Cricetulus griseus: one gene and its partners. The protein of the gene in region 4 purifies or fractionates together with the protein of the main gene of each other region. This does not show direct contact. Links are inferred from orthologs where the notes say so. Each region holds a gene or a part of one and is shown on either strand. Other genes may lie near its edges.

Evidence for each region.
Region 1: the proteins of Dcaf7 (region 4) and Tcp1 purify together in Homo sapiens (affinity purification with mass spectrometry; 3 studies listed by BioGRID and IntAct, counting the BioPlex papers as one, with this or other methods). This does not show direct contact. The link is inferred for Cricetulus griseus from reciprocal best matches to the Homo sapiens genes DCAF7 and TCP1.
Region 2: the proteins of Dcaf7 (region 4) and Diaph1 purify together in Homo sapiens (affinity purification with mass spectrometry; 5 studies listed by BioGRID and IntAct, counting the BioPlex papers as one, with this or other methods). This does not show direct contact. The link is inferred for Cricetulus griseus from reciprocal best matches to the Homo sapiens genes DCAF7 and DIAPH1.
Region 3: the proteins of Dcaf7 (region 4) and Znf703 purify together in Homo sapiens (co-immunoprecipitation; 5 studies listed by BioGRID and IntAct, counting the BioPlex papers as one, with this or other methods). This does not show direct contact. The link is inferred for Cricetulus griseus from reciprocal best matches to the Homo sapiens genes DCAF7 and ZNF703.

Annotation. Positions count from the first base shown.
Region 1 is NC_048595.1:288,142,654-288,148,538, reverse strand, and holds the start of Tcp1 (T-complex protein 1 subunit alpha), read left to right. Parts: upstream 1-1,834; 5' UTR 1,835-1,922; coding exon 1,923-1,986; intron 1,987-3,286; coding exon 3,287-3,372; intron 3,373-3,454; coding exon 3,455-3,583; intron 3,584-4,287; coding exon 4,288-4,385; intron 4,386-4,525; exon of another isoform or gene 4,526-4,663; intron 4,664-4,754; coding exon 4,755-4,865; intron 4,866-5,224; coding exon 5,225-5,406; intron 5,407-5,885. Other genes in the region: Mrpl18 (39S ribosomal protein L18, mitochondrial), read right to left, coding at 586-772, 1,047-1,098. UniProt on the Homo sapiens protein: Component of the chaperonin-containing T-complex (TRiC), a molecular chaperone complex that assists the folding of actin, tubulin and other proteins upon ATP hydrolysis.
Region 2 is NC_048595.1:199,706,513-199,712,373, forward strand, and holds the start of Diaph1 (protein diaphanous homolog 1), read left to right. Parts: upstream 1-1,810; coding exon 1,811-1,927; intron 1,928-5,861. UniProt on the Homo sapiens protein: Actin nucleation and elongation factor required for the assembly of F-actin structures, such as actin cables and stress fibers. Binds to the barbed end of the actin filament and slows down actin polymerization and depolymerization.
Region 3 is NW_023276807.1:56,854,184-56,860,179, forward strand, and holds the start of Znf703 (zinc finger protein 703), read right to left. Parts: upstream 4,052-5,996; 5' UTR 3,923-4,051; coding exon 3,671-3,922; coding exon of another isoform or gene 3,667-3,670; intron 3,020-3,666; coding exon of another isoform or gene 2,898-3,019; exon of another isoform or gene 2,742-2,897; intron 2,729-2,741; coding exon 1,202-2,728; 3' UTR 1-1,201. UniProt on the Homo sapiens protein: Transcriptional corepressor which does not bind directly to DNA and may regulate transcription through recruitment of histone deacetylases to gene promoters. Regulates cell adhesion, migration and proliferation.
Region 4 is NC_048600.1:118,982,177-118,987,562, reverse strand, and holds part of Dcaf7 (DDB1- and CUL4-associated factor 7), read right to left. Parts: intron 5,320-5,386; coding exon 5,201-5,319; intron 1,154-5,200; coding exon 944-1,153; intron 1-943. UniProt on the Homo sapiens protein: Involved in craniofacial development. Acts upstream of the EDN1 pathway and is required for formation of the upper jaw equivalent, the palatoquadrate. The activity required for EDN1 pathway function differs between the first and second arches.

The sequences.
Region 1 (5,885 bases), on a different chromosome or scaffold from region 4:
TTTCTTAAAAGACTTTTAATTGGCCTTCCTTTTATTCCCCGCCTTAAAAATTAAGGCCCAAACTTTACTCTCCATTATTTATCTTAATCTGCAAGGTAATAACCTAATTGTACTTACTACTCTATTTCCACCAAACGTCACTCAGCCCTTTACTTACTGAACTCCAGGTACGCAGGCCTGTGGGCTTCTCAGAGGAGCTAATCAACCCCAGCCTAGCAGCCTCCTCTACTAGAATGTCCTTCATGTCAGATGGTGGTCTTCTTATCCTTTAGGGCTCAGCTTTGTTGTTTTAAGACAGGGATTTTGTTTTGGAGACAGGATTTCTCTGTGTAGTTTTGGAGCCTGTCCTGGAACTAGCGCTTGTAACCAGGCTGGTCTTGAACTCACAGAAATCCGCCTGACTGTCTCGGGAGTGCTGGGATTAAAGGTGTAAACCACCACCACCGGTTTAGATGTCGGCTTTTTGACATGTCACCTCTTCAGAGAGGGAACAATACATAATCTCTTATTCTCAAATTAACTTTAAAGTTTTCTTCCCAATTTAACCTTGGGCTTATCTGGCAGGGTCAGTCACAAATTAATTACCTGTGCCAGAACTCACGGTTGGGCCACACTGTAGCCCAGCCCCGTTCTTTCCTGGCTACCCCTAAGAGCTCCAGATTCCGAGGGTTCCGGTTGGTGAACACTGGGGCCACAGCTTCGTTTTCCTTAGTCTCCACTTCGGGCTGAATCGCTGGCGAGGAACTGGTCGAGCGGGCTGCGAACCCACACTCTAGGAAATGAAAACGACCACGTGGATGTTTAAAACGACTAATACGGGCGCCAGAGGGGCGTGCTCTAACCATTCCCATCACAAGGCCCAGAAGCGGGTAGAAATGGCCGTCTGACCAAGGTTATCACCACCGACCCATAACGTCCCACGGTCACCCCGGGAGCGGCTAGTGCGTTCGCTTCCGCAAGCGGAACCTCGGGTGCAAAATTGGATTTGCAAATTCCCATATACTGTGCACAGCGAGCAGGCAACGACGCGGGGCGAGATTAATTACCCAGCTTCCCGCAAACTGACAGCCATTTCCAGACCCGCGGCTGAAGCGCCATCGCCGATGGGACGTAGGCAAAGCCTCCCAGTACCCGGCCTTGCTTTGCTCACGGTCGTCAGGGAGAACGACTAGCGGCAGCCATGTTAACTGGGGGAAAAGCTACAGATGCCAGCAGGTCGTCGGTCACTCCGGGACCCGGAACAACAAGCTCCCTTGTACTGAGTGGCCGAATAAGCGATCGGTATCTCCGCTTCGCCAACCACCGCTGACGTCGAGGCGGGGGGCGGGGCACGCTCGCGTAGCTCTTTTCTCGGAAGTCCGTCCCTGCGGCATGCGTGACCCCAGGCAGTGGTCGCCCAGCTGCAGACCCCAAACCTCGCTGAGCCTGGACGGAGTCTCAGCTGACTCTCCGAATGCTCCCTGACTCCTAACTATGACCGGAGCTCAGAGATGAAAGGCGCGCGAGCTCCCAGCCGTACCTGGGAGCTAGGGTCCGTAGCCCGCCTCCCACCACAACCCTATCAGCTTCTCTAGAAGGCGCGAGAACGCACGAGCGCCGCCCCACTCCTCCCGCGGCCCAACTTCGGTTCCTCACTTCCGCGCCTTTCTCGTCCAGCCTCTAATTGGATAAATAAATTGTAGACCCACCCCCCCTCCAGTTCCGGCGTCTTCAGTCTCGCCCATCCTCTTTTTCCCAGCGGGCCTAGCGGTTAGCGGAGCTTGGAAAGCGGGCGGGGCTTGGTACCCAGCATCCCGTGCGGCGTCGCTCGGGCCTCTCTCTCCACGCCGTCCGCGTTCCCCGCTGTGGTGGCCGCAGTCCGGCCTCTGAGCGGATATCCCGGCCGTCCGCGGTGTTAGCGAGGCCAGCCAGGTTCCCTAACGATGGAGGGCCCTTTGTCCGTGTTCGGGGACCGCAGCACTGGAGAGGCGATCCGCTCCCAGAATGGTAAGGGCGCGAGAATCCTGCGCCAGGCCCGCGGCCCAGGCCGAGGCCCGACTGCGGTCGCTAGGCCGGGGCTTCCCCCTCGGCACAGCGAAGTCCCCGTGGAGGCCCGGGCCCAGTGCGGACCTCACCCGCGGGCCCAGCCGGCGCCATGGCGCCCTTCGGCCCTGGGAAGAACGTTGGAGCACGGCACGCGAAAGCCCGTTTTGGGAGGTGCCCAGGGTGGGTGTGGGCGTCCACGCCCCGAGTGGGGACTGCGCTACCCCGGAAGGCTAGCTCCAGACCTGATCGCCCGCCACGCCTCAACGGTCCCTTTGTCCTGGTTCTAACCGGGTTGGAACATCCCGGACACGACCAGAGAGGAGTAGTTTCCACCCGTTCCATTTGCCCAGGAGAACATGCCCACAGAATGTAGGTGGTCGTCTTTGCGTGGCTTCCCTCCGGCCGGTTGTCTTTCAGTTGATAGCTGCTCCCAGGAATACTTAACGGTTTGCAAATTGAACGATAGGCGAAATAACACGTGTTTGCTGGTAGTTGAACCTGTTTTTTTTTTTTTAAAGCACTTAACGTTTTCCGATCGTGATTGTGCTTTTTTGTTGTTGTTAAGGTGCCCCCTCCCCCCGAAATACAGTTACTACCGAGATGGACTACTATTCTTATTAAAACATGCTAGAGTCTGAAGAAAAGGCTGAGATGTTAACCCTGAAATTTTTCTTGCTGGCTGGAGAGATAGCTCACCAGTAAAAACACTGGCTGCTCTTCCAGAAGACCCGAGTTCAATTCCCAGCACCCACAGAGCCCCTCACAACTGTCTGTTAACTGTATTTCCAGGAGATCTGACACCTTTACACCAATGCACATAAGGGATTACTTATTTTTTGAGGCATTGACCTCTTTGTGACATTCCAGTACTCAAAAAAGTTAACCTAGCCCGGCCATGGTGGCACACACCTTTAATCCCAGCACTCACTTGGGAGGCAGAGGCAGGTGGGTCTCTGAGTTCGAGGCCAACCTGGGCTACAGACCTAGTTCCAGGATAGTCATGGCTGTTAAACAGAGAAACCCTGTTCTGAAAAGAAAAAAAAAATAGTTAACCTTCACTAGTCCTTTTTTTGGTTTTTCAAGACAGGGTTTCTCGGTATTGCTTTGGAGTCACTAGTCCTTAAATAGGTGTGTTTTTATTTTTTTAATTCCCCAAAAATCGTAATTATTGCAGATTGGTAGGTTTAAGAAAATCATAGTTGGCTTGGTGTCTCTTAGCTTGTGAATTGTTCTAATTTTTCGCCCATTGTTCTATCTTCAGTTATGGCTGCAGCTTCCATTGCCAACATTGTGAAAAGTTCTCTGGGGCCAGTTGGCTTGGATAAAATGTTGGTGGATGACATTGGTGTAAGTATATCTCACTGTTCTTGGTGGCCTTGCCTCGTGGAGCTTGGTTTCTGTGTTGACCCACTTCCTTCATATTTCTCAGGATGTAACCATTACCAACGATGGGGCCACCATCCTGAAGTTACTGGAGGTAGAACACCCTGCAGCTAAAGTTCTTTGTGAGCTGGCTGACTTGCAAGACAAAGAAGTGGGAGATGGAACTACCTCTGTGGTGAGGCACTACCTGGGAGTGGCTAGAGAATAAGCCCGTTTATTAGAGTTGAACCCATGAAAGAATCCTTTACTCTAGATATGTCAGGTGTTTATGGTCTCATAAACATTTGAAAACTAATCATTGCACCTACTTTGTGCAGTTTGAGTAGGAGAAAAATCATATAAGGTAGTTGAATATAAGCTTATTTTAAATACTGGGAATTTGGATGCTTATTTTCAACCCCCTTGCCATGATAATGTTTACATGTAGAAAAGAGTTTCTCATTTAAAGAAAATGTTACCAGGTTTCGGCTTCTTTGTTGTTCAAAACTAATGGATAGTTTTGGATTTTAACCATAGACAGGAAATTTGGGAATTCAGAGTAGAAATTTCTGGTGTTTGTAGCTTGGACCATTTGCACAGACTACTTTGTGGTGTTCTCCATTTTATGTTTTCAGCAAGCTGCTACTTGTCTGCTGTGGCTGGTTAGTAATGCTAGGTCATAGCTGGACATTGTGGTGCATGCCTTTAATTCCAGCAGTTGGGAGACAGTGGAAGGTGGATCTCTGAGTTTCAGGATAGCCAGGGCTACACAAGGAAACCCTGTCTTGAACAAATAAGTAAATAAGATAAAAATAACAATATTAGATAATTTTGATGTTTTCCTGTATGCATTGTGCATATTGAATGACATGAAAACTTAAAGCAGTGTTTAATCAACAGGTAATTATTGCAGCGGAGCTTCTGAAAAATGCAGATGAACTAGTCAAACAGAAAATTCATCCAACATCAGTTATTAGTGGCTATCGGCTTGCCTGCAAGTAAGATTATATTGAAAGAAAATGTTATTTCCTGTAATGGTTGTAGTCTGTCTTAATGTTGTGATTAATCATTAGTTGGCAATGTTCTGTCTTAGCATTTGGGTGGTAGTATTGAAATATTCAGCCCAGTGTACCTCTGTTTTCCCAGTTGACTACCACGTTTTCTCCCAGTAGATTATAGTGGCTATGCTTATGGGATAGATGAAAGGTGCCATGATCTGAAGGGGGAGGGCTTTTCAGTGTCTTCCCCCCTATATGAAATGGCTGAACATAAAACCATCGCCCGATATTTCACAGCGTGTTGGATGTGGTGAAACGCAAAACCTCTGAGTGATGTTTTTATATTTTTCTTTGCCGTTCCTTTCCCAGGGAAGCAGTGCGCTATATCAGTGAGAACCTAATTATTAACACAGACGAACTTGGAAGAGACTGTCTGATTAATGCCGCTAAGACATCCATGTCTTCCAAAATTATTGGAATGTATCCTTAAATGTTCAGTGAAATTTGACCCTAACCCCCTTTCACTCTTAAAAATTAGACTAGGCTTTTATAGAATGTCAATTTTATGCAATAAAATTTATAATTCTTATCTAATGCAACTTGATCTTGTTAGAGAAAAGTGACTGAAACTGCTGCTGCCACCCCAGCCTTGCTGTGGTGAGAGGGTGGTTTGGAGTGCAGATGGTGCTGCATAGAGGGAAGTCACCCTGACTATAGTAGTACTACTTACTGTCTTCCATTGGTGAATTGTCTTGCTAAAAGAAAGTCTAGTTGAATTGCTTTTTGTGTCTTTGGGTCTTTTATTCCAAGACTATTGCTGTCCTTAACTGTTGTCTCAGAAATGGTGATTTCTTTGCTAATATGGTGGTAGATGCTGTACTTGCTGTCAAATACACAGATCTGAGAGGCCAGCCTCGATATCCAGTCAATTCTGTTAATATTCTGAAAGCCCATGGAAGAAGTCAGGTAGAAAGCATGCTGATCAATGGCTATGCACTGAACTGTGTGGTGGGATCTCAGGGTACGTAAGGGTCAGCATTGTTGTTTGTTGGTTTAGTTTTGTCTATCTGTGTATTTTTCATAGTATACATCTTTTATTTATTTGTTTGTTGGTTTGTTACACATACAGTGTTCTGCCTACCTGCCAGAAGAGGGCACCAAATTGAATTGTAGATGGTTGTTGTAGATGGTTGTGAGCCACCATGTGGTTGCTGGGAATTGAACTCAGGACCCCTGGAAGAGCAGTCAGTGCTCTTAACCTCTGAGCCATCTCTCCAGCCCCTTAGTATACCTCTTAATAGGCTGTAATATTTGTGATGAGGGTGGGCATTGTGATACAGGCATTTAATTTGAGCACTGAGGCACTGTTAAGCCTTGTCTACATAGTGAAACCCTGCCTTTAAAAAAAAAACAATTTTTTATTTTGTGGTGGGTATAGATTGAGAGGAATTGTGTGCACTTGCAACTGTCAGACTTTATTAATGAATTGCTATCTTAATT
Region 2 (5,861 bases), on a different chromosome or scaffold from region 4:
TGAGCATGGTGTTTGAGATGAGGACGTTAGGTGGCAAAGATATCCTGACAGAAGCACACTGAGTGCTCAGCTGTGCTGGATCCTGTATGCACTACAAACACAGACCCTTTTCTGGAAGACTTTACAATCAGGGGCATGGTGAATGTAGGTGTTGACAGTGGTGCAAGATGGGCCCCTCATGCTATCTTTTTCACTTTAGTTTAGGAGTAAGTAGCATTGAAATTCTTCTGGACAGCCTGCAGGAGAGCTGGACACCTCTGTGCAACTTCTAATCCAGCATGGGAAGGTTGGAAACATAGAGGAGGTGAAGGCTGTATTTAGGAGACAGCAAAGTTAGTAGAGACCCTGGTATTACATCTAAGATCTGGAGATTTCAAAAAGTTACTGAACCTGTCGTTAGGTGTGGCTCCTGCACCACCAGCAAGTCAAATTATCAGCCAAAAGCCTGGAGATTTAAATGAAAGACAAGATGTCTAGTCGTTTGTGCTAAGAGAATGTGTGTGTGTGTCTCTTTATTACAGGGAGGGAACAGCCTTATATACAGATGTACAGCACAGTGGAAGAACCCAAGGTGTAAGAGCTCATGTTTTCCCAGGTGTGGTTGATGCCAGTAGGGCAAGGCCAGGACTAGAAAACAGGATGTACCTGTGGTTATTGGCTGACAAGCAACTCACAGAGACCCCATGGGGGCTGGGGCCCAACACTCGGGAATATACACTTGAAATCCTTTTCTTTACTCTTAAGGGGTAGTCAGTCCCTCTCTAAAGATGCCATGTCAGGTAGATATAGCCAGGAGAATGAGAGAGATCATGTAAAGACCATAACCAGAGAACTCATGCAGGCACGTTTGGTTTATGCCTGTGGGGGAATCTTGGTTAAAAATATGGTGTGGCTGTCAGATTAATCTGTGTGTAAATTTTCTATCAATTATGTTACAAGTCACTTCAATGTCCAGAGTGCAAATTTCTTAAATGGTGATACCAGTAGAGTCTATCATGAAATTGTGAGGAATCAGTGAGGAAAGATGTTATGTTTAACATATAACCTGTCCTATAGTTTGTGCTGGGTATGTAGTAACTATTTAATTGCTGCTTAGGCTATTGGCAATAATTAGTCTGTCTACATAAACAACTAGAAAGCTAATCTAGGATTCAATGCTGAGTATTGTAACTCCATAGCTGGTCTAGATTGGCGCTGGCTTGAACTCAGTTCTTGGCACATAGTTTCTATATCAAGTAACTCATTTTTTACATTATTTTTTAATGCACTTACTGCTTGGTGTCATATACATACAAGTTGCATTATCCCACAAAACTTAGCCTTAAATTTTCAACCAAAATAACAGTGTTCCTACGATAAGAGTCTTGGTTCAGACAATGAAATTCGGCCTGGGGTGTGAGGTGGTCTAGCTCTGCGTGGGAGCCCAAAGGCTTCCTCTGTTCCAACCGCCAGGGGGCAGCACTCCCCGCTGCGGTGTGGAAGAGCAGCACCGCCCACTCTCCGTCCCCCCCTCCACGTGGGTCCGAATGGTTAGGCCCGCCGGGCAGGTAGCGCGCTTCCGCGGCGTCCCTCCACCCCCCTCCCCTGCCCCATTGGTAGGGGCTGCGGGTCCGGGCGGAAGTGGGGCAGGCGGGCGGGAGCGAGGCGTCACCGTTGTATATTCATGAGGCGCGCGCAGCCCAGCATGTTAATGAGGCGGGGCGCGGCGGCCGGCTAAGAAGGCTGCTGGGCGGCGGCGGTGGTTGCTGGCTCGGGCTAGCCGGGCGCGAGTGGCGTAGACCAGGGGTCCCTGGCCGGAGCTAACCAGAACATGGAGCCGTCCGGCGGGGGCCTGGGGCCCGGCCGCGGGACCCGGGACAAGAAGAAGGGTCGGAGCCCGGATGAGCTGCCCGCGACGGGCGGCGACGGCGGCAAACCCAAGAAATTTGTGAGTGTCCCTCCCACCCTGCTCCTCAGCCTGGCGGGGTGGCCGCCCTCTGAACTCGGGCGACCCTCGCTGCCCTCCGGGGGCGTCTGCCTGCCGCTGGGGAGCCGCCCCCGCGCCTCTCTTCCTGGTTTCGCTGAATCCTGGGCTTCGCGGTCCCACATTCTCCTCCTCCCGGACCTCGGGAAGCCCGGGAGTCCCACCTGGCCCTCGCCTCGGCCACCTTGGAGCTTCCCTCGCTCTGGAGTCCGCCGGCTCTGCGCTCCCGCCCCCGTGGCCCGCGGGCTCGCAGCCTCACTTCCTTTCTTCTGCCTCTAGTACCCCCACACATCTTTTTTTTTTTCTCTAAATTTCTTTTCTTTTTTTTTTTTTCTTTTTGATTCCCTGTAAGCTGTTTTGGGTCCATTTTCTCTTCTCACTCACACCCCGTTTGGGTTATTCCCTTTCTTCTAAAAGGTCATTTCCTTCCTTACTAGTGATCCCTTTCACCTGCTAACTTTCCTCCCGCCCTGTCCCCTTCCAGGGCTCTCAGCCCGGTGTCACCTGGTAATGCTTCCCCGCAGGAATGTTACCTGACTTGAGTCCTGTCTTCCCTCCTCCTTTGGACGTTTGTCCTTGTGATTACGGGTTCTGCCCAGGTCCTGTGGTCACTGGGGCATGGCAGTATATGACTTCCCAGTATTTCCCTATCCACAAACCTGTTTCTTACTGCCCTGTTGCTTATCACTTCAGAGGTTTAGAACTTTTTTTCACGATACTATGCCCTTCATGACCCGAGATGATGATTAATCTCCCTCTTGAACGAGTTAGACTTCAAGTCCAATAAGTTTGTGAGTAATTTGCTTTTTATACTTTTAAAAAATAACAACCATCTCCTTAACTCGCCTTTGGCCATCTTCTGTGTCTCTAGGTTCCTGACATCCCCTTTCCTATCTGTAGGAGAGTATGTATCTTTCCTTAGGTGCCGGTTATTGGGACTTTCGAGGTTCATGTAACGCGGTATTTTACTACCTGTTGCCTTTCCTAACTAAATCCTCTTCTGTCTCCAGGGAGCTACTTTGCTTCTTCCTGTAAAAACTTTGAAAGATACTGAGCAGTCAAAAAGGGAGTTTCTGCTCAGTTGTTGCCAGTTAATAACTAGATACTTAGTTTGCTCTTCCAGGTAGCACCAGTAATCTCTGAAGCTAAATGGCTTGAATTCTTCTTAACTCTTGCTTTCTTTCACGCACCCCCACCCCCAGCATTCTGATCCAAGTCCCCGAGTTTGGGAATTAAACTGATGAAGTGATGGAAGTGGGAAGAATATGTTTTGTGACCTGGAGGGTTGAATTAAAAGAGTGACTGACTCATCTCTTCCTATTTCTGGCAAGACCAGGTGCTCCTGTTCTGTCCTTTCTAGTGACATACAGGGTGTCAGTAACTGTTTGATCTGGCAAATACCTTTGTAGAAATAGGATCCTAGGTGACCACAGCAATATATCCTTAGGTTCTTTCTTTAAAGGTAGGAATTGACCCTCCAGTTTGAGAACTTTCCTTCCAAAATGTAAGTTTTAGGGCCTGTATTCTATTTCCGTGTCTTTTTGTTTTGATTTTGTTACCATGGATACTGTTTGACCTTCGTCCATACTGGCTATTTTTGCTGATTTGTAGTGACCTCTTATTACTGTTTCTTTTTAAAGTTTCATGTGTGCTTTTTTATTTTTTCTAATACCGTGTCTCATAAAATTGGTGAAATCTACTGGTGTGTGTGGTTAGGTGAGAAATCCCAGGAACCTCAACTTCTTTCCACCTGTTTTTTTGGCACAGTTTTGTGTTCGCTGAGTGGATTTGGCCCAGAGTTGTTGATAATTTGCTTTATAGAGGGTGGAGCTGAACCTACTTCTCTTTTACTGAGGTTCTGGTTTTAACCCTTACATTACTGAATTTTAAGAACTGGGTATTGCAAGTAGTGAGGATTGGAAGGTTTCCAGGGAAGCAGGCTTCTTCACATCCTAATTGCTAAATATAATCTACCTTAAGGCATCAGGATATTCTTACTGCTTTTTATGAGAACTATGAAAATGAGAGACAAGGAGCATTGCAATCCACTTCTCTTTGTCTCTGTATATATAAGTGTGTGTGAGTGGGTGGAGTGGGTGAGATTGCTGGGGTGCTTTTGTCACCCAGGGCTCAGTTTTCTTGAACTACTGGCTAAGACCAATCTCAAAACTATTTCGCCTACTCCACCTTTTCTTAAGTGTGGTATCCGCCAGAACTCCCATTCTGAATGTACTGTACAAATGTGGCCTGGACTAAGTGTGCTTGAAGGTTTGCATTTGAGTGTTTGTAGTCCTTAGGCTGCTGTTACACCTTTCTGAGCAGGTTGTTTGCATTTGAAGGACTGCAGTTCGTACCTTTCTGGCTTATACAGATTCTAAGTACAAATAGACTGAAAATAGAAAGCAGAGCTCATAAATTGCCTGAGACCTTCTTCACCCACTGAGTCTTGCTGTGTGTGGAGAGCAGCTGATATAAAAAGTAGATAGGCCACATCTTTTAAAGGCTTGGCTGCTGCAAGTGTTGATGTGAATGACTGAAGGCAGGCTGCCTAGTTTTACCTGTCTTCTGGGCCATGAGCATTTCCCTTCTACAGTGTTATTCCAGTTCCTTTCCAAATCCTTTCAAAGGAAGGAAAATAAAAATTCCAAGTGAACAGAGTGTTTCTGACTTTGCAGCAGGGACGAATGTGCATGTCAGATATACTCATTTCTGAAATATATGTAAGGAGAGTCAGTACAACCAGGGTGTTAGGAGGCTGTAGAGTATCCCTGCATTTAGTAGATTACATGTCTGCTCACATAGTTGAGAAATTAAGACATTCTAAGAACAGTGATTCCTGATGCAGTGAGGAACATAATATGTTCAAAAAGCAAGGCGAGTTGGTAAATGTTTCAGTACTTAAAACAAAAACAACTGAAAATAAATTTTATTTTATTTTTATTATTTTTTTGAGACAGGGTTTCTCTGTAGCTTTGGAGCCTGTCCTGGAACTTGCTCTGTAGATCAGGCTGGTGTCGAACTCACAGAGATCTGCCTGCCTCTGCCTCCCAAGTTTTGCGATTAAACTCATGTACCACCACCACCTGGCTGGAAATAATTTGTTAAAAGATGTTTTTATTTTATGTATAGGAGTGTTTTGCCTGCATGTGTGTGTGAGCACCATGTATGCTTGGTGCTTAAGGAGGTCTGAGGATGGCATTGGATCCCTGGAACTAGAGTTAGAGATGGTTGTGAACTACCATATAGGTACTAGAAACAAGTGCTCTTAACTACAGAGCCATCTCTCTAACCATAAAGAGCTGAAAATTTTATGGACTGTAAATTGTTTATTATAAAACCTAAGGAAGTAGTAGTATTTGTGATGAGAACAATATAACTCTGATAAGCACGTGAACCAAAACAGACCTATTGTATATTCTGTATGATAACCTTTTGTTATCCTTATTGGTCTGCGCTATAGTTTGCACGTGGATTCTAGGGAAGGATTCGCTTCAATAGAATGTAATAGAGACCCAAAAGATACAGTTGTATACCACATGTGATTCAGAAGAAAAGGTTAAAATCATGTTTATTAACAGGAAATATGAGACATGGTAGTAGAGGAACAATATGGAAGTGGTTCCTTCTACTCTGTTTGTTGAAAACATTCATAATTACAAAAACCATCCTCATTTTGAAACTAATTTATATTAAGATTTTTTTTTCTTTTTTTTGTGTTGGGCCTTCTGCTTTTAATCACTTGTTTCTCAATAATAGGGACACTAGCATCTTAGCAAAGCAGCTAGGTATTTGCCAGTTACTGTTAGATGACACTTCCCTGTAGCCAGCTGCTTGTTATCTGTCTTCATCCCTTTGGTGTTCTTCTGGTGGCTGGTTTGAGCATAGCCAGGGTTTTAGG
Region 3 (5,996 bases), on a different chromosome or scaffold from region 4:
AGAAGACCCGGGTTGTCTTTAATCCTAGCCACCGCAGGAACCCACAGAAACCCACCGCCAGCTTTGGAGATTGCTGGCTCAGGTCTGGGACAGGGCGAAGGGAGTGTTGTGATCCTAGGGCTCCCTGAGTCCCCAGCCTGCCCCCTACAGAGCTACTAATGTTGTCTGGTCTGATGACTTTGGGACTAGTCTGCTTTGGAGGGATCCATCAAGGGTCCCCGGGCCCTGCCCCTATCACCAGGGGAGGATGGGGGTCACAGTCCCAACTAGGGAGAGAAAAAATAATGACGATAAAGTACTTCATAAAATATAGAGAGCAATTTTGTGCCAGCAGGGGCTTTTAAGACGTTTGGCGGGATGTGCCAGGTCCCCATCAGCTGGCAATCTGACTGCCCAGCGAGGTGTGGGTCCCTGAAGGGTCAGGAAGGCAGAATGGATGACAGGCTCTGTTGGAGGCCTTTGGGACCACTGCAGGGGTGAATCCTGCCGGTCGCACCTGGACTCTTCAAGCTGAGCACCCTGGACGATCAAAGCTGTGATTTGATTTGAGGGGTCAGGGCCTAGAACCAAGTGCTCACATGGGAAAGGAGGGTTGCTGGGGAGGGCCACACAGCAGCGTTCTGATTCAACAAAGCTCAAGACCTCCAGCCACCAAGGTTCCCCTCGACCCCCCAAAAATTGTTACAATATTTTTGTACAAAGGAAAAAAATAATTAAAACCTCACATGGAGAGAAACAAGAGGGGTGGAAGGAAAGGGGAAGAAATGCAGTTTTAACAGTTGAGAGTCATGCAAGAGACTGCCCAAAATGGGAAAACTAAAAGTGTAGAACCCCAACTCTCCCTTCATTCCTTAAAAGCAAACCAGTCAAAAAACCAAAAAATCCCTTAAAACATATACCTAAGAAAAAGAAAATAAAAAAGGAAGGGAGAGGGAAGGGGATCATGTCGTTATCTGGGTGGTTAATATTATTATTTGGGGAGACAGACTTTTTGCATACCATTGACTCATGTGGGCCATTAATGCACTTATATTCCCAGCTTGTAAGCTAACATTATAGTAAATAAATACACAGTCCGATGGGGAGGGGCTGGGCTGTATCCTGGTAGGGGTAAGCAGTAGTGGAGGTTGCAGCGTCGAGGGCAGTGGGACATGAGAGGAAGGGGTGGGTGAGGAAGGGCTGGGAGGGGCCAGAGCTGTAGTTACTGGTATCCGAGCGCCGAGGCGGAGGCTAGTCTCTGTCCATACAGCGCATATGGCGAGTAGTAGGGTCCGGCTGTGGGGAGGGATGGCACTGCCAGCCCCCCAGCTGTAGATAAGTGGCTCTTGCCATAGGGGTGGTATCGGCTTAACCCCAAAGTGTGTGGACTCCGCAATGACAGCGATCCAGGGCTGCCTGGGGCGGCGGGCGGGGGGAGATGCAGATGGCAAGAGGCTGCGGCTGCCGCCGCTGCTGCGGCGCTGCCCAAGCTCGAGGCCCCGGGGTAGGCGGCCAGAAGTTTCTCTGCGCCGGGCAGGGCTGTGTGAGTCCGTAGATGGCTGAGAAGCTCCTCGGAAGTGGCAAAGCGCTTGTCGCAGGGCCCGCTGGCCGCCACCCAGTTGCAGCTGTGTGGCAGCGGTTCGTTCTGCAGCATGAAGCCATAGGTGTAGAGAGGATGGCCCGGAAGGGCGGCCTGGGCAGCGCTGGAGGAGAGCGCAGCGGGTTGCAAGGGGTGCCCGGGGTACACCAGCGGGTAGCCACTGGCCTTAAGGCTGGGCCCGGTGGGATCGTGCGCGCTGCAAGTGGAGCAGCTAGAGCCGCCGAGGTGCGAGGCGCTGTGGTAGCCTCCCAGGCAGTAGGGGTCACGGCATAATCCCTGCAGGAAGGAGGGCGGGGAGGCCCCCGTGAGCGGGCTGGAGCTGGGGGGCTTGCCGGGTGGCAGGCCCAGGCCCCCGGACAGCTGGCCTCCCACTAAGCCAGACTTGCTAGGATCCAAGCCAGGCACGAACTGAGACGGGTAGCCGGCGTAGGCGCCCACGATGGAGCCGTGGTAACCGATGCTGGAGGGCGGTAGCGGGAACACCGAGTGGCCTGGTTTGTAGGGTGACACTGGAGCCACGTGGCCGGCCCCCACCAGAGCAGAGGGCGGCTCCGACTTGCGCCCTGATGCCGCGGCTTCCGGGCCACCGTGAGCCGAGTCCCCACTGCTGCCTCGGCTCCCAGTGGCTGGCTCCGGACTGGGTTTGGCTTCCTGGTCTTTCTTGTCCAGGTCCCCGCCGCCGGCTCCGCCACTGTTCTTGCAGTCTGAGTGGTGCGGGGAACCTCCTCGGGAGCCTCCCGGTGAAGACGAGTTTGACGAGGTGGAGACAGGCGCTCCATGCGGGGGAAAGGGAGGGCAGGCGGCGCTGGGGACCCTGAAGCCCGCTTTGTCTCCGGGGGACGAGGAGGACGAAGAGGAGGTGGAGGACACTGACGAGGAGCCGCTGTCTTTGCGAGAGTCGCCGCCGCTGGAGCCCTTGGAGTAGGGCTTGAAGCTGGACTTGTCCTCCGAGGGGGAGTCCCCCAGCTGCTTGAGCGCGGTGGCCGCGGAGGCGGTGCCGGGGGCGGAGCGGCCCGGGTCTTTCTCGGATCCCAGCCCGTTGGCCGCTGCGGCTACTGAGTTGAGCTTGGACGAGGGCGGCGGGTCAGGTTTGCCGATCTGCGAGCAGGTCTGGGCTAGTAGTGCCAACGGACTCTTCTTGGCGTCCAGCTGCGGGAGACAGTGGCAAAGGGGAGGGAGAAGGGGTGAGATTAGGGGACCCAGTAAACCCGCAGGGACGCAAAGCAGGTCACTGGCGGCGCGACGGGGGCCTAGCGAAGAGGGTCACTGAGAAGGAGGCCTGGCTCCGGCGGAGCAGCAGGGCGGTATGGCACTTGCGTTAGTCCCTGACTGTGTCATGGGCGCTGGCGCACAGGAGAAACGGTTCAACGCCCGCCCTCCTGGTTAAAGGTGACTTCTCTGGAGTCGGGGCGGTGATTCGCCCCTTTCCATCTAATCCTCCTTCTCTTCTTGGCCCGGGGTAAAACTTAAGCCTTTAGTTTGGGAGAACTTCGTTTGGGACGGGTTTCTGATGATGGCGCTCGGGGCAGGAGCAGGGAGAGGCTCCTTCTAAAGGCAGAGCTGCAGTTGGCCCTATGAGTAGCCCCTCCCTCTTTCCTCTCCCTCCCTCTCGGGGAGAACACCAAGAGAAGTGGGATGAAGAAAGACCCGGGGTCGCGAGTGCTTGGGTTTTCTGCAGTGTGCCCCAACAGGCCTGGGAAAATGCGGGGGAACCCGGGCGGCTTCCAAGAGAACAGGTCGGGGTGGAGGCGAGAGAGGCCCAGGAGCCATCTCTGGACAGGACACAGGGGGCCAGAGGAAAAGTAAAGGACTCTGGGCACCACAGGAGTAAATCCAGTTCGACAGAAAACACGCAGCTCCGAAGGGCGAGTGAGAAAAACCCTTCCACCCGGGAGTCTAGGGAGAACCTGGAGGGGTCTGATTCCTGCCTTTCGCCCTTCTTCATAAGGTCCGCCAGCGTGGCCAGTCTCGAGAGTCGCGTCGCACTGAGCTACGGGGGTGGGGAGAGTGGGTAAGGGAGCAGAGGGCCATGGGCCCGGCATGGGTGGCAGAATGGGTTCGGTTCTGGGTGGGCAGCGCCCGGAGACTGACCTCGATGGGGCTGACGGGAGTGGAGGACAGCGGCTGCAGGTACTCCGGATGCAGGAGGTGACCGGTGTGAGCGCTCAGCATCTTCAGGACCCTGATAGGAAGCCGGTTCGCCTGGCGCAGGGGGTCCGCCGGGGGCAGGAGGGACACCACCGCCGGCACCGCCGGCCTCTTCCCGCCGCCGCCGCTGCCGCTGCCGCCGCTGCCGCTGCTTTCGGGTGTCCTTGGGTTAGATCCAGCGGGCGAATCGCTCATTTGGAGGAGGCAGCGCCACTGGGGGGGCGGGGAGGGAGGGGAAGCTCCGGGAGGCGAGCTCCCGGGGCGGGTGGGCTCGCTCCGCTGCGTCGAACGCCGTGCAGCAGTCGCTGCGCCTGGATGCCACCTCCCCTCCTCCACCGCCGCCGCTGCCGCCGCCGCCGCCGCCGCTAGCCCAGGCGAGCAACACAAAAACCTTCGCCTTCCGCGAGCTGCACGTCAAATAGCCGCGATCTGCAGCCACACTTCAAAGGGATCGCCGCGCCCGCCCAATCGCAGCTCTCTCCCGGACCCCGGGGCGGGGAGAGCGGCGGGCGGAGGCGGGCGCCGCCGGTGGGCGGGGAGAGTCTTAAAGGGCCCTCGCCCCCCTTGCCGCCTCCCAGCCTTCGCTGCGCACTGGGACTGCTCTCTCTTTCCGGGTTCTGCCGGGCTGCCCTCGCCACCGGGTCATACAAGGGATGGGACTTCTGGACGCAGGCTCTGCGCCCTCCCTTGCTCTGGCTCTTCTGATGTCCGCTGCTTCCCACTAGCGTGTGTGTGTGTGTGTGTGTGTGTGTGTGTGTGTGTGTGTGTGTGTGTGTGTGCTGGCGGGGGCTGTCGCCAGTGTCTAGGGTGGGAACGACGGTGGGAGCTCACAGAGCCTGCTCTGGTCCTAGGATCCAAGCTTCTCCTGGAGGCCGCCTGGGGGCGGGCCATTGCCTAGGGAGCCGGGCCCCTTCTCCAAGCTGCTTCGGCCAGTTCTCTTTCCCCTAATTGGCCTCTCCCGGATGTGTTCACTTGGAAGCGTCGGAGCCTCAGGGGCATCCACTATTCCCTGGGCGCTGGGTGAGCGGTTCCAACTACTTTGGGCTTGTCCAGTCAGCCTGCAAGTTTGAAGGACTCCCTTCCTGGTGAGATGGTCTAGATGAAGCACAGTACCCGGGATAGGGCGCGCCCCCTCGGAGCGCCGCCTTGAAGCTCCTGGAACGCCCCGGGGGCACACTGAATTATAGATCGTGTTTACGTGTGTTTCAGGATTCTTGTCCTGTTTAAAGCAGTAAAGCTTCCTCACTGTGCTGTGACTAGCTGTTATTTGGGTGAGGGGTAGCATCACTGAAGAAGCCGTGTGTCCTAGCGGAGGGTGTCTTAGCACAGCACAACTCCAGAGATTGCTTCACTGGTTTTCCCCCAGGGAAATTTCGAAATAAAACCTTTTTATTAACAATAACAGTACCCTCTCTCATCCCCCCTCCCCCGCCCTAGACTTCCGGAAAAAGTATGTATTCACACAGAGATTTAACATAGTCACGGACCTGACCTTAAAGTTGAGAGCCTCGGGCTCAATCAGGTGACACTGGTCCTTTGTGTCCTAGCTCTGGAGTGACCCCTTCTGCTTGCCCTCGGCGGCCAGTAGAGGCGCGCTGGTGTCACCATTCCTTTTGAGTACCACTTTCCCAGTCCTGATTTGTTCCTCGGATCATCAAGGTCTGTCTGTCTTTGTAGTAGCCCCAAGACTACCTGGTTCCAACTCTGTGGTGCTGATCCAGTCTTTTCTCTGACTCTGGTACCAATGACTCAAGACAACGTGAGAACCCAAGACTGGGGCAGGCGACTTCAAAGGGATCTTCAAAGTGAGAGAGCCATCACACCCTTTTCATACTCTGGAGAGAATAGACCACACTAGTCATATACTAAACTCAAGCACTCCCTGACTCCACACTGTTTGGTGACTAGAGTGTATAGATTTCTTAGAAATTACTCAACTGTCCCCTCCCTCATCCTTAATTCTTATAAAATTAGTTGAAAACCAATGGCCTGTGTTGTCCTGACTCTGATGATATCTTCATTATTGCAGCAAGAGGGTCATAGGAATGGAGGGGAGGAGGACGATCTCATTTATTTTATGGTGTCACGGTTTCCTTCTCACCCCCATTAGCTCTGCTCACACCAGTCTTTGCATTCTGACCTCATGGTCACTGCCAGCATTTATCTATCTTTAAAATTCTACTCCAGGCTGGGGCTGGTGGCTCATGCTTGCAAACCCAGCACTCAGGAAGCTAGGCAGGAGGATCATGTCACGAGTTTGAGGCCACCC
Region 4 (5,386 bases):
CAGAAATCCTTAACACAAAAGCAGTGCAACTGCAGTGAGTTTGTGGCTAGCCTAGGATACACAGTAAGCTCCAAGCTAGCCTGAGCTACAGAAACTCTGTTTCACCAAAGTGGGGAGAAGCTGAGCACAGTCCTTTTTGTTGACCAGGGTCCTCAGTCTAGGCCCTTTTGGCATTTTTAGTAGACTGACACTGTTGGGAACTGTCTGTGCATTGCAGGGTCATTAGCAGCCTCCCTGATCATTGCCCACTTGATGCCAAAAATACTCTTTGCTTCCTCTTCTGACAACCAAAAATGTTTCCAGGTATTTCCAAAGATCAACTGAGCACAAAACCGCCACCATCCGAGAGCTACTCTTGTAAATACACAAGGCAGATTGGACAAGGGACAGGCAGACGTATGGGGTGATAGGAGATGCTATTGTTTATATGTTTCTCTTATTGGTTGATGAATAAAACATTGATTGGCCAGGCAGGAAAATAGGTGGGGCTAGGAGACAAATTCTGGAAAGTGTAGGAGGCCAGAGTCAAGATGCTGCCAGAGGAGTGACACCATGCTGGTCATTACTGGGTAAGCCACAGCCTTGTGGCAAGACACGGATTGATAGAAATGGGTTAATAATTAAGACAGAGCTATCTGATAAGAAGCCCTAGTCTGGGCTGGAGAGATGGCTCAGGGGTTAAGAGCACTCTGTTCTTCCAGAGGTCCAGAGTTCAATTCCCAGCAACCACATGGTGGCTCACAACCATCCATTATGAGATCTGGTGCCTTCTTCTGGCATGCACTGTATACATGATAAATAAATAAATCTTAAAAAAAAAAAAAAAGAAGCCCTGGTCATCGGCCAACAGTTTCATAATTAATATAAGTCTTGTGTGTTCATTTGGGGCTCAAGGGCCACGGGACCAGCCAGGGCAGAAAGCTCACATGACAACGGGGTTTACCTCCATTCCATCCATGGCCATCGTGGCAAGGTAGTTAGGGTCCTGCTTGTTCCAGCAGAGGCGAAGCAGTGGGTGATGCTGAGGGTCTTCGTAAATGATGGTGCTGTGCTCCAGATGACGGAGGTCAAACATCCTCACAGAGCCATCCGCACCCACAGAGGCGAACATGTCCCTGCCACCTCCAGCTCGGCTGAACGCAATATCATAGACCTATTGGTAAGAAATGTCCAGTTCACATCAGCCACCTTTTCCCACAGGATGGAAACCTGTTACTTCCAGTTCACATGAACCCCAACTCATGACAGAACAGAATAGCAGGAAAAGTTAGTGGCTTCTCAGAGAATCAAGATCATTTTTTTTTTTTTTTTTTTTTTGGTTTTTTGAGACAGGGTTTCTCTGTGGCTTTGGAGGCTGTCTTGGAACTAGCTCTTGTAGACCAGGCTGGTCTTGAACTCACAGAGATCCGCCTGCCTCTGCCTCCGAGTGCTGGGATTAAAGGTGTGTGCCACCACCGCCTGGCGAGAATAAAGATCACTTTATCACAGGTGCTGGCCGACTTCTTCCCATGCCTGGCTTCTACTCTCTCTCTTAAAACCTGGTGATAAATAAAGCAAAAACTCCCCACCCAGCTGACTGGCAGAGAATACCTTAGTCTGAACAAAGACCCAGTGTTCCAAGCCTAAGGCAGTTATTTTCTGGGCTTTAGTGGTTTCACTTACATGCAATCAGATGCAGGTTCATGACAAACCACATCATGATTCTCTGCCGAGCTGGGTCCGCTATAAGCCTGAGACCTGAGATCCTTTTGTAAGAAAAAGGTAATCACGACTTCTGTTTCTGTGTTTTTTAAAAGGGCATCTGAGAGCTGGAGAGACGGCTTGGTAGTTAAGAGTACTTGTTGCTCTTGCAGAAGATCCAGGTTCAGCTAAGAGTAATCTGTAACCCTAGTTTTCCGGAGGATCTGACACTCCCTTCTGGCCTTCGTACTGTGCACACATGTGGTGCAAGGACATACATGTAGGCAAAACACCCATATACATTAAATCTTGAAAAGACTTGCAGACACCTCTGTTCACCTTTTGGATGAGTGCCTTACGAGTCTAGTGGTGATGAACAGTTCGTACCTGGGAAGTGAAAGTACTGCTCCATCTTTACCTCCTAAAGGCTAGAGTTATAGGCACCCAGGGTCCCCTTTTAATCACTCTTTTCTTTCCTGTTGTTTTAAGACAGGGTCTCATGTAGCCCAGGTTAGCACTAAACTTGCTATGTAGCAGAAGATGACCCAGGACTCTTGATCTTCCTGCATCTACCACTCAAGTGATAGGAGTGCAGACATGGGTCCTTATGAACCATAGAGAAGTATTTCTTCATAGTTAGAGAAAAGGGGGTTTAGAAATAGATAGGCATCTATTAGCAGTGTTTGCTCCTCAGTATCCAGAGTGTCTAGAGGACCTACTTTTTTTTTGTTTTTAAAGATTTTTATTTTATCTGTATGAGTGTTTTGACTGTTTGTACGTATGTACCCTACATGAGTAGCCAGTACCTGTGGATGCCAGACAGACACCCTGAAACTAGAGATACAGATGGTTATGGACTGCATGTGGGTGCTGGAATTGAATCTGGGTTCTCCAAAAGAGCAGTGGGTGCTCTTAACCACTGAGCCATCTTTCCAGCTCCAGACCCAATATTTTTTTGTAAGAAATTCTTTTTATTCCTCCACCTCGATGTCAGCTGTCATTACTAGCCAAGATCCTATTAAGAGTGTGCTTTGTGTTTGACATCTGTTTTCCTGTTGGTTCTGGGTAATTCCCCCACCAGTGTGGCTCAGAGCACAAAGCTCTCTCAGCTTAAGTATCTGCTCCTTTGTCCGTGCCCCACCTGTTCAGCTCATCCGGAAAGAGAGAAGTGGCCACTCCCAATGTATTAAACCCTCCTCTGGCTACATCTGCCAGGCATCCATTTACACCCCCCCCCCCCGCCCGGCTTTCCCTAAGGCAGAGCTGCCACTGCAGGCTGCAGGCTCCTTCTTTCTAGTTTGTCACTTGCTCTGATTCATTCCAGGCCCTCCTGTTCTTCTCTGTATTGAATGAGACCTGTTTCCTATAGGCCAGGTTTGGCTGAGTCCCAGGTTTGCTGGCTGTTTCTGGATAGTTCAGCCAAAGGAATCCAAAGTGGGAAACTGTGTCACAAGCAGCAGCTGAGTACTTACCCTTCCTCTCTCTGTTCAGAAGCATCTCTGCCAGGTAAACCCAGACTCTGGGAGTCATAGCCTTCAGCCTATAGGTAGTGGGCATCCCCTGCTACTACCTTCTCAATTCCTTCACGTATAAGCATTCTCTTGGTTTAAACCACTTAGGTTTATTCTTGCAAGACCCCTGTTCTCAGAACGGGGGTTGAAACCAGGGCCTCATGGATGGTAGGCAAGCACTCAATCACCAAGCTATATTCTCAGACACTTGGAGTAGTTCACACTTTTGGGTTGGCTCTAGCAGAGCCAAATTCCTTTATCTACAGATCCTACTCTTGGAGTGCAACACCAAAGATTAACTACTTAGAATGGTAACCTGGCACCACTCTGTTGATGACCTTAAAGCATCTTTTTTCTTATACAAATCCTGATACCACTTGCTGTGCAGGTAAAGGGGCATAAAATGAAACAAGAGAAGGTCAGAGGTTCTGTGGGAGCAGAGTTTTGCCTATTTCCCCAAACCACCAGAGGGTACCCCATCAGAAGAAACAACATCAACAAGGTACATTTGCCTCCAAATAGGACTGAAAGTAAAAAGATCAAGTAAACATACCAGAGTTCACAGAACGGTTTTAGAGAAAAACAGTTAATTAGGATTGTCTGTCATGAAATTCCCCCTTCCGTTTCCCACTATCTCTAAGAAGCTATCATGTTTAGAGAGAAGTGTTACTCTTTCTTTCTTTTTTTTTTTTTTTTTTTTGGTTTTTCGAGACAGGGTTTCTCTGTGTAGCTTTGGAGCCTATCCTGGCACTCACTCTGGAGACCAGGCTGGCCTCAAACTCACAGAGATCCGCCTGCCTCTGCCTCCCGAGTGCTGGGATTAAAGGCTTGTGGCCACCAACGCCCGGCTGAGAAGTGTTACTCTAAAATTATTCTTTAACCATATCAGTTTCTAGGATGTATATAAGAGACTTCATTAAAAAACAAACAAACAAACAAAAAAACCAGCAACCTCTGGCCCCGTCCCTACCAATCCCAGAACTGCTGTCATGGGTGGTGGTGTGTGTGGTGTGTGTGTGCGTGTGTGTGTGTGTGTGTGTGGGGAGCTAGCCTCACTGGCTCTGGCCACCACATGGCTCTCCCCAGATGATGGCTTTTGGCGGTGGATGCAGGGGGGCTGGCTGGTAGGAATTTAACCACATTCCAGTGAATACATGGACAACACAAAATAGACTTGTTCTTTTAATTGTTTGGGGGGTGGGGTCAGTAGAAGGGGATGGACATGGGAAGACTAGGAAGTGAGTTCAATCAAGGCGCATGATGTGAGATTCTGAAATAATCAATTAAAAAAAGTACCCCCAGCAACCTCTAGTATGAAAGGAAAATGAAGATTGTAGGTTAGTTTTGTTTAACGATGCATTTGGACCGGTGAGGTAGGTCAGCCACAGGTTAAAAGCACTTGCTCTGCAAACTTGACAACCTGAGCTCAGTCCTGGAAACCCACAGCAGAAGAGGGCAGCTGACTCCAACTGAGCTCAGTCCTGGGAACTCACAGCAGAAGGGGGCAGCTGACTCCAAAAGTTGTTCTCTGTTCTCCACACACGCACCGCGGTACACATATGCCTGCACATGCATACACACTTTCTCTCTCTCAGAATAATTGTCATAAATAAAACATTTTAAAAGGTGCATTCAGCTGGGTGTTGGTGGCACACGCCTTTAATCCCAGCACTCGGGAGGCAGAGGCAGGCAGATCTCTGTGAGTTTGAGACCAGCCTGGTCTACAAGAGCTAGTTCCAGGACAGCCTCCAAAGCCATGGAGAAACCCTGTCTTGAAAAACCAAAGTAAAATAAAATAAAAACATAACAAACAAAAAAATAAAAATAAAAGGTACATTCATTTATAAGTGTTGTTTTCTGTTTTAACACATTAGCTTTCAACTTAGTCAAGGCACATGCCAACACTGTGAACTACGTAACCTGCAGAACAGTGAGAGAACAGGACAGCCTCTCACCTGCAGGTACAGAAAGCACCTGCAAAAAAAGGAGGCAAGGGAAAGCATCATTACCTCTTTGTCATGGGCAATTAGCTGGGTCTTCACATGGCCAGACACGAGATTCACTCGTCCCAGCACCTGCCCGGTCTCTAGTCCCCAGATGGTGCAGGTTGTGTCAATGCTTGAGGTACCTGCAGACACCGGAGCAAGTCAGAGCTGATGAGGTGAGGTTCCATGAAGACTCCCCTCTCACTCTGA